Drosophila melanogaster: one gene and its partner. The protein of the gene in region 1 interacts with the protein of each later gene in a biochemical or structural test. Each region holds a gene or a part of one and is shown in the gene's direction. Other genes may lie near its edges. The genes, in order: Akap200 and Pka-R2.

Evidence for each region.
Region 2: the proteins of Akap200 (region 1) and Pka-R2 form a complex in vitro, tested with the Drosophila melanogaster proteins (one study listed by BioGRID).

The regions. Positions count from the first base shown.
Region 1 is NT_033779.5:8,414,003-8,418,942, forward strand, and holds the start of Akap200 (A kinase anchor protein 200), read left to right. Parts: upstream 1-1,687; 5' UTR 1,688-1,884; intron 1,885-4,940. Other genes in the region: CG13398 (uncharacterized protein), read right to left, coding at 1-877. UniProt on the Drosophila melanogaster protein: Scaffolding protein involved in the regulation of PKA signaling and anchoring to the actin cytoskeleton integrating signals propagated by cAMP, diacylglycerol and calcium.
Region 2 is NT_033778.4:10,023,035-10,028,083, reverse strand, and holds the start of Pka-R2 (protein kinase, cAMP-dependent, regulatory subunit type 2), read left to right. Parts: upstream 1-2,041; 5' UTR 2,042-2,255; intron 2,256-3,724; exon of another isoform or gene 3,725-3,881; 5' UTR 3,882-4,033; intron 4,034-5,049. Other genes in the region: CG12128 (uncharacterized protein), read right to left, coding at 1-376, 441-1,161. UniProt on the Drosophila melanogaster protein: Regulatory subunit of the cAMP-dependent protein kinases involved in cAMP signaling in cells. Mediates membrane association by binding to anchoring proteins, such as Akap200. Might play an essential role in the regulation of neuronal activity in the brain.

The DNA.
Region 1 (4,940 bases):
TGGCCGGCTCTTGATTGGAAATTGGTTCCCTCGGCAGCAGAGGGAGCTCCAAGCGATTTACGTTCTCATAGCAGCGCTCATTGTTCAGATCAAAGATCAGAGCTTCCACATTGGCGTACATGTGCACAGCATCGTTGGGACTCAGAACTGGAGCTGGTGCTGGGGCCGATTCCAGAGGTGGCAAGTCCATCGTGCGCCTACGTGATGTCAACCTATTGCCGGAGGGCGGGGTGGAAAGCAAATCCGAGGCGGTGCCTTCCAGACAACAGTCCTGCAAAGCCCGCAATGGCTGATCCAAATAGGCACTGGGTATCAGGACTGGTGATTGCAAATTGGGCGGAGAGTCATCGACTTGCGAATCGTTGGCCTGCAGCGGATACGATGCACTTGTGCTCGAGGGCTCACTGTGGAAGTTGCCCAACTGGCGGCTCATTAGGGGAGCCGGCTCTAGATAGTTATTGCCCTCAGTACGGCCCATATTTACGGACACCGAATGAGCGGAGTTAACCCTTTCTCGTTCGCCCTGCACAAAGGCATCTGTATTCACCGCGTTGATGTAGCGCTGAAACATCGGATACAGCTGCTCGGCATTGTGGACTCGAAACGTGTAGATCCCTGGCCCAGACATACACCTACGTCCTGCTTCGAAGGAGAAGAGATCGTTATTCAACCCATAACGTCGGAGGTGTTGCAGTGCCCAGACAATGGGCTCACAGCCAGGCGACTGGAATATTAGTTCCCGGGGCGTTAGCTCCAGGTAGCCACTCCGGATGATGGGCGTACCCGGGGTGGGTTGCAGGTGAGCCACTCGCACTCGAAACACATTCTCATGACCGCGCAGCTCATTTAACTTGCTGCTGCTGGTGATGCAGCCCATGGTGTTGCACTGAAAGACGGAGTATTATGCATTGAAGGATTATCCACTCCAGTCATGTACAGTGCCTATTGAAATGCACACCTGGACAGGCAAGTCCGCCTGGCTGTTATCGCAGCGGGCATGGAAGAAATCGCAGGCCGATAAGAGCACCACCCACCGCCTCCACCAGCTGAAATCAGCTACCCAGTGGAACTGGAGGCTCTGGGGTGCAGTCGAATTGTGTTGCTGTTATCCTGGTTGACTCCTCCTGCTTTGGTTAACTCCTGATCGACGGGACTGCTGGCTGATTGTTGTTATTTGGCCACGGAAATTCCGTTCTTGTGGTATAAAATTTCTTCTGCGACTTTTCCCCTCGCCCGACAGAACGCAATTGTGAGCAACGGGCATGCTAACTTGATTTTCGCAAAAAGACTTACAAGAAACGCTTTTTAAAAAAGTAAACGGAAAATCAAAGACAAATTACAAGTAATTACACTTAAAGAATGAAAAACTAGTTTAGCCAAGTTTAAGCCAAGGAAATATTAATATTTCAAAATTTATAGAAAAATATTGCAAATGTCAGCTTAATAGAAGTTTTCTCTCGTTTAATAGAATAATCTTGAAGATTTCTTACGTCGTAATTTTTACGTTTCTGCAAATGTTTACTGCAATTAACAAGTAATAAATAGGATTCAGATGTAAACAAATATAATTTATAAAAAAATTTTAAGTTAAGGCATTTTAGTCATCTTAATTGTATGGTTAACCATTTGGCGGAACATCAACTTTGTGGACAGCACTATAACTAGACCCGAAGCCCTAACGCGTTCTAACTGCGAAAACATCCTAACGCGACGTAAATACCAGACCCGAGCGGACATTTTTTATTTGTGGAGCGCGCAACAAGAACGAGAAAAGAAACCGAAACGGAAAGCAGGCAAAAAGAGCTGCTGCCAGTGTAGAATCGCAAAGCAAAGAAAGAAGCAAGTGCGTGTGTTTTTAAACCGAAACCGAGAGAATCGAGCCAGGTAAATTCCACTTTAAGTCATAAGATCAGAACATAAAGGAGTTAATTTAAAAAAATAAATGAAAAAGAAACCAAAGCCAAGCAGGCAGACGGCTTGCGTGTGTGTGTGTGCGTGAGTGGTGCTACTTTTGAAATTCTCTATACCCGCTTTGAATTTCGTGTTTGTTTAAAGGAATTGTGATTGAAAAGGAGACAAAGAGTTATTGACGAAAAGTTTCTAACTGGTTTCAAAAATGGTAACTGTATTTGAGGCACAAGTGTTTGTAAAAGAGACGCCCGCCGACGCTCACACACACAGGCAGGAAAAAGGACGCCATGGAAGGCGGCTTAGTGTGCGTGAACGGTGAAGAATGGGAGAAGCGAAGACTAAAAGAGATATTTAAATGGAGTTTTATGCATTTAAGGAGAACTTTCTTTGTCATTAACCCCGCCCCCGCAAAATACAGCATTCGAATTTCGCCACCTTGGAGTAGTTGCCTTTTTACAAAATTTTTGGGTGTGCCGCCTTCAATGCGTCGGCGTTGCCACCACGTCGGCGTCCGCAGCAGCAGCGCAGGCAGTGACGGCGGCAGAGGCAAACACCATGCCGGTGTGGCTTTGTATCCGTATCCGTCTCGCTCTCTCTCTCTCTCTTTGTCTCTTCGGCTCAATCTAGCGCTCTCTCCTTTTTGTGCCTCGCCTTCCTTCGCCTCGCCCGCTCATCGCTCTGGTCCTTTGTGCCATCGCTTCGCCTTGACTTCTGGTTCATTGTCGTTGTCTCCTCTTTGTTTGCATTGTACGCCTGATTACACTTGCCAACATGTTTCTACCTTCTCAGCCAAACATCCTTGTGCAAGGTGCACGCACATAGCGAGTGCCCACTGTGGCCATTTGATCTTTGTATACGTTTCGATCCCTTTTGCGTCTCGGTTTACTCAGATTATCGATACGAGGAGGATCGTCTTTTTGTTTTTCCTACACTTTTGTTGCGAAAAACTGCGTCGCACTTTCTGCAGCGTCGGTTTGTCAGTTCGTCCGTCCGTCCGTCACTCAGTCGTTCAATCGCTCAATCGCAGACGGGCAGACAGCCACCGCCCTAACTGGCGTCGCCTACATGTCTTTGTGTGTGTGGTGTATGTGCTTGCGTGCCTGGGGTAGTGTGCCTGTGTGCGTGCCTCGCTGCATGTGTGAGTCCTTTACGAATGGAGTGGGTGGGCAGAGGCCGAGGAGGAAGAAGCAGAAGCGCAATCACAAGATTTTCGATTGTCAACTGCAATTTATACTACTGCTAAGAGAATTTTATGATCTACTTGCAACGCTGAATGCTAATGCCTTAAATTTTAGTAGCCTCTGTCAAGGATCTTAAATTCAAGTTCTTGTCACAATCATATTTCTTAAGTATATAATTACTTTTATTGTTAAATATTTGTACTGTACTTAATACGTAAAACGTATTTGACAAGTGAAATTTCATGATTGCTCTACTGAAATCTTTTCTTTGAAAATGAATGCTCTTCTTTGTGTTCTAACCTGACCAAATTTATTTGTCAGTGACCCAATTTAGGCACCAAAACTGTAAATATTTCCGAAAATCTTATCAATTTGCCTGTTGAAAATTTGATTAGGAATGGAGTTTGCATTCTGAATTTTCCCCACTCCCGAAATTTGAGCAAATTGAATTATTTCGCTGCGATTTCAGGTAGCGGTCGCCAACCGAATGTATCTTTGAAATTGGTTTATTGTTAAGGAGGAGGGGAGGGCGCCCCATAGAATTTGTGGCGGGTTTTCCCTTGAAGTCGGCTCGAATTTCGTGTACATATTTGCCAGTCGTTCACTGAGGACGAGCATATACATATAATGCTTTTTGGTGTCGCCTTTATTGGCGAATTTGTCAACGTTTGCTCAAACTCGAGTAAACATTGCATTGCGATACGGTGTGGAGGGACTGGGGGCAAACATGCCGTTTCGTCAAGTGCGATTCGCGGTTAACCAGCAATGCTCGATCGCACAATTGGCCTTAAAGCTGTCGATTAGGGTTTAAATTTAACTGCGAACTATTTGGAAATAAACAGAAATCTTTTCCGGAATTACAATACAGTAAAACTTGATATTCTAAGAAGTTATAGATGGTTCACGTACGGTTATAGAATTTCTTAGTGCAGTAAAGGTGGCAAAGCATGTACGAAAAACATATTTTCGACTATTTACTAACGCATGTAATGTTATTGACAACTGGAAAGATTCCAGGAACATGCCTTTTGTTTATCAACATAGTAATTATATATCAATGCTCGTGCAGCTACTTCCTGGAAATGAGTGTAAGTAAGCATGGTCATTTTGGAAGTAACCCATACGATCTAATGATTCGCAGAACGGAGACACCGGTCTGCCAGGGCACATTTGTGCGCTAAACATATGAAGCTCAAAGTCCGAAGCTCAATTGGGGAGCATGGGTAGCTGCGTATATATGTATGTATATGGGTGTGTGTGTAAGCCAAAGTGTTGAGAGGTCCTTTGTCACCGCTGCCATACATTCGTATATCTACGAAAGCGAGCGAATTTCTCATTTAATATGCAAACATCTGTGTGAAAGATGTTCGAAGGCTGCCGCTGTGATGTGCTGCTGCTGGGGCTGTGTGAGTGGAAAACGTTTGCAGATTGAGCTGATTTTCATTTCACGTTCTCTTCTCGAACAACTCGAGTGATATAGCCCTCGGTTCGACCACTTGAGGCCACTAATTCCGCAGGAATTCGGTATGGTTTCAGGCATACTATCATAATTGCTGGGGGTGCACATTAAAATTTTTTTTTTTTTTGTGTTGTAGGTGTTGTTGTTTTGGGAGGCATTTGGCGTGCCGAATGGGCATTGTATTAATGCCAAATCAACAGAAATGTGGAAAATAGAAATATATGTGTAGTCCGCACTAAAAATCAATCGCAGTAGGCCCCAGAAACCAAAATAAACAAATAGCGTCCGAGGCGAAGATAAGCGGCCCTGGTCGGATCCAATGTGATCCGATCTCCATCATATCCCTCATTCCGCCCGCCGATCATGAATTTTATTCAAATTGAAGCTCT
Region 2 (5,049 bases), on another chromosome or scaffold:
GCAATCAACAGCGCTTCCTCGGTGCGAATGGTTCGAGATCCTTGGCGTGGTAAAACATTTACATAGTGGTCGAACAGCAGCTCAGGATCATCTACGGTCAGTTTCTCGTCGTTGGCCAAGGCAGATTCCAAGCCTTGCAGTCCGCCAAATACAATGAGCATGTGATTAAAGTTATATGATCGGTTGGGCACCTCATGTACGTTGGTTCCGCGATCCGAGGTACCCACCGTAACATCGTAGCCGGTTGCGTAGGGTGATTTGGTAAAAATCTCAGACATGGAGTGTGCGATGCGCACCTGGTAGCCCCAATAAACACCTGTTTCCCGACGTGGTTCATCCGGGCTAACTAGTGTTCCCCGCTGCTTTCTACAGCTCTCTGTTAGGACGAATAGTTCATTAGTTCGGCACTGGGAGCACAAATGTTCGATTTAAATGCCTACCACTTTGAGGTTCCATTTTTACAGTTACTCTGACGCCTGGTTCTATTGCCTTGTCAACCAAAACGTCGTTAAGCAGCCCCACGTTGGCGTAGCTGTGTCCCTCCTTGGCCTTCTTGTCGCAAATGACGCCCTCACGATACCTGAATTTGCTCTGTTGACGGAGATGGTGCGGTGTGTCCAATGGATTCAGCAAGCCAGAGTACTTAAGGTCTTTGTGCAGCGGGAAGAAGTATTTTCGGAGATACTGCGGGCATTCCAGATACTGCAATATGCGTGCCAGTTGTAATGAGCTGCTGCGCACAGTGCCAGTGCTGCTGCCTTCCCCATCTGCCTCGTAACTACGCTTTGTTTCCCGGGCGGTGGCTATACCCACGTCGTCGAAGACGATTACCTCGTTCACCCGAAAGATGCAGGCGGCCCGGGCTATTTGACCGGCCACGTAGGCCCGCAGCTCGTTGGATTGGGCATTCTCGAGAATTGAACCGGGAACAGCTATGCTCAGCGTGGACGGATTAGGCTTATCCTTAGCCTGCACCTCATTGGCTGCCTTTCCCGCCTGTGATTCTGCCTCTTTGGCTTGCTGCAGCTCCTTGAGCAGCTTGTCCTGCTTGCGCTGCCGCTTCAACGCTTTCCGCTCCTCGTTCACCTTCTTCCAGGACTTGTGGGGCCCAATAGGCCTCCCATTGCTGCTGGCTGTGGGGGCGGCGAGCATCGTTTTCATCAACAATTCGTTTACTCGATTGAAACTGTTGCAAACAAAATACGCACGTGCAACCTCGGTGGACAGTATGTGGTCTGAACATAATACCAGTGTTGGTATCTATCGGTTAATGGTATTAATCGGTCAGGTTCATAATAATGCACAGATTTTTCATTCCACCTGGTAACATATGTAGTTCTCTCAAGAAGTGAAATGAAAACATTTATTGCGATTTGAATTTAAAGCGCTTGATTCAATAAACATGGACAATGGGAAGGAACAGTCCAGTCCGGAAACGCACAGTACGCACCCGCTATTCAAAGCGAAATCCGGGAAAACCGAGATCCCAACCATTGATGAAGCTGTGGACTATCTACAAATCCGAGCTATAGAGCTATCGAGTTTGACATCTCCGCCGTTAGACTATACAATGATGCGATCATCATAACGCCCTTACGGATGATCAGTGGACAGTCGGATCGACCTGCATCTTGTTTTTAAAATATTGCATCTTAAACGTTTGTTTAGACCTCGCTTCAGTTCCCACTGTTTGTTATGACCACCAAAGGAATTATAATAATAAAAAATGATTTTTATATTATTAGTCCTTCAAAATGGACTATACGTCCATTTAATGCTGCATTTAATACGTCATTGTGTTATCATTTTAGGGGTTTCTTTCATTTAAGTAGTCAATTTTTCTTACATATATTTTTATTTAATTTTCTAAATATCTGAAGACAACCGTTGAAAAACTTACGTTACAATTGCCCCGCTTTGGTATGTTCTTCAGTATTTTTACACCCACACGCAAGAGAGCTGGCCGCGAGAGAGAGAGAGCTTCCGCTGAGAGCGAGCTTTTGCGGGAGCACCAAGTCTATTTAAGCAACCCGCAATTCAAAACTTTTTGTAATTTTTGCCTGACACGGAATCGGAATACAGAGGCTTCTGCTTGCGATATATTTCACCGTTCGCACTTGTTTACGTTTGCCATTAAAATTTTTCAAAAAATCTAACGAGTAACAGCGGTTGAATCGCCGGTGGCAAAAATATAGAACCGTGTGCCGTTGTGCGTTGGTGGATCGCTGGAAAATGTGCGTTTAAAAGTCGAAAAAGTAATTGCACCGAAGAGAAAAGCCCGAAAAACAAAAAAGCGTGCTCGCAAATTAACTCCAGCTTCGCGCCGCCCCCCGCCCCCCGCCCCTACACCTGTGCACTTATCACCTCTCGCTCTCTCTTCAATTGTGCAAGTGTATGTAAAAATGTGAGAGCAGAGAGCAAAAAAAACCACACTACGTGCGCGTAATAAAAAACGAAGTGGGCTGTAGGCGGGAGGCGGTGTAGGTGGCCTGCCTCCCAATCCCTCCCCCGAAAATACAAAATACATACATACAGAAATCTACCTATCCGCTGCTTTTGTTGTTGTGTTGTTGTTACTTGAAGGTTTTTTTCGGTGGGGGACAATCAATAAACACGAGAGCTGCGTGTGAAAAAGAGACAGCGAGTGCGGAGTGCAGGTGGAGAAAGGGGATCTCAAATTGGAGCGCGAAGAGATTGAGAGAGAGTGGGGAGCGAGAGAGGGGCTTGCGCATATGATTCAAATGCCGGTTTTGAGCGCTCTATTTTTCGAGTCTTAAACAAGTGCAGTGATCAATTAACTAAATACTTGCCCTAATCAGTAGTTTTTTTTTTGCCAGATATCATATCTTGTTTGGATTTAACAATAGTTAAAGAATAGTTCAAAAAAGTGCAAGTGCAAGTGCAACTGCTACCTGCGTTATCGACGCCTATCGATATTCGGAAATTGGGTCACGGGCGCCAGCTTTTCAGGATGCCAATCAGAATTAGCCCCTACATTATTACAAACCCAAAAAAGTCAAGCAAAATAAAGTCAATTTACGTAGGAGTTGCAAGAAAGTAGAGAATAAACAACAATACAAATGCCTAATTATACACAAAAACCAACATGTTTATTTAGGCCAACTTGAACAAATTATTTCGCAAAAAAAAAAACAAAAGTTCCTCCATCGTTTAGCAGGTTTTGATCAAATTTGAGCAATAAGCAAAATAATCACGTCAATTTTGTTCGCTAATTTGTGTTTCCTATTAGGTTTTGCAAAGTGACAACCAGAATTCACTTCATATTTTATTTATAACCGAACAAATGAATTGTGCTGGCTCGCTGTAGCAATTCAAAAATAAACAACAATTGCAGTTAAGCACACAAGAAAACAAAAATGTCTGTTCAAGCGAAAAACAATTTCGGGCACCCAATTAATTAAGCAGTTACATTGGCGAACAACAAAAATGTTTTTCTTCAAAGCTTAAACGAAATTTTTGCAAAACCTGGTTAAATATTGGTTTACGTGACTTTTGGCATGTTATTATTTCATGCCTTTTGGGAATTAAATATTAGGCATAAAACAAATAAAGTGAAACCAGACCAAAACTAATTACATACATGTACAAAAATTCACCGTATTGAAAATTGATAAGATTGAAAATTAGTTTAATGGCTGGAGCTCGTCTAATTGATGTTTCAAAAGTGTACCTCACGACAACTAAAAAATCGCTCAAATCTCAGTAAATACGAATCCAGCAATCAAAATCTATTAACCGAAATACTTTCAAAACATCAAACAACAGCGAAAGCGGCAATAAACACCAACATCAACGATCCAAAAATAAATGTAGAAAAACAAGGAAAGTCCATGAGAGTAACAAATTAAATTTGGTTTTAGCCAAAACAACAAAAGCAAGCTAAGGAACAAGGCAAAAAAAGTCAGCGAAGAAAGAGACGGAGGAGCAGGTGAAACAGGTGGACGCAGGAGACCCACCCACCCGAAAGAAACTATCACCACCAGCAGGTGACAGCAAAGCAGCAGAAAGTCAGGTGAGTATCGCGCCGCATTCGCATTGGAATCCATTCCATTCCATTCCATTCCTTTCCATTCCGCTGCCATTTGTGTTTGCTCCCCGTGCGATTAAATATTTCACGCGCTTATCAATTGCTCAAGGGTTGGCATTGCTTGATAAACAAACAACTAAACAACTAAAGAGCAAACAGAAATTAAAAAGCCAGCAAAAGTCGCCTGCTTGGGCAGGTGGGTCGCCAGGTGAGGTTATACTACAGCTAGTGTGGCGGGGATCGAAGTGCTCAGAAAGCCACTGAGATATTCTGGAATGAGCCCCACCATATATGTACCCATACCTCTACTCGAATATTGTTGAAATGAGTACGCGGGCCATAAATCAGTGAATACCCCCGGATAACTTTTATAGAATTCGCTTCTATAAGTTTGAAAATTAAAGAAAAGCATTCAAGTACAACTAGTATGACTAGTTGGCACACTTCACTTCATAATTTAGGAAAATTATGAGTTTTGCTGCTCAGTCAGGCACCCGTTGTTTCTACAAATGTATATATACTTCACCTTTATAAAGCAATAATTACTTTCATAAAAACTTAATAAAAGGGTTGGACAAGCTTTATAAAAACAAAAATAAACATATAAATGGTACTGTAAAAAGTACTAGGCGTGGACTAAATCGTAAAATCATTTTGCTCAAATAACTTAAAATTCTTTGTCTAGATTTAAATGTAACCCAGATTTCTTTGAAAATAACAACAGGAACTATTAAACAACTGGAAGGTGCCTTTCTATGCAGTGCCATCTATTTTTAAGACTTTTAAACTGCTTGAATTCAAAATTCCCCAGTTACACCCTTTTTTATGTAATCCGACTACATTTCCCGTTCTTAATATCCTCTTTTCCCCTGTTGCAAAACGGAATCCAGATAATAAATTCTCGAGCTCCTTCTCGATGAGCTGTATTTGCAATTAATTCCTCCATTTTGTAAACTTGGCATCTTCGCCAAACGGACAAAGGAGAATAAGAGCCCAGCAAC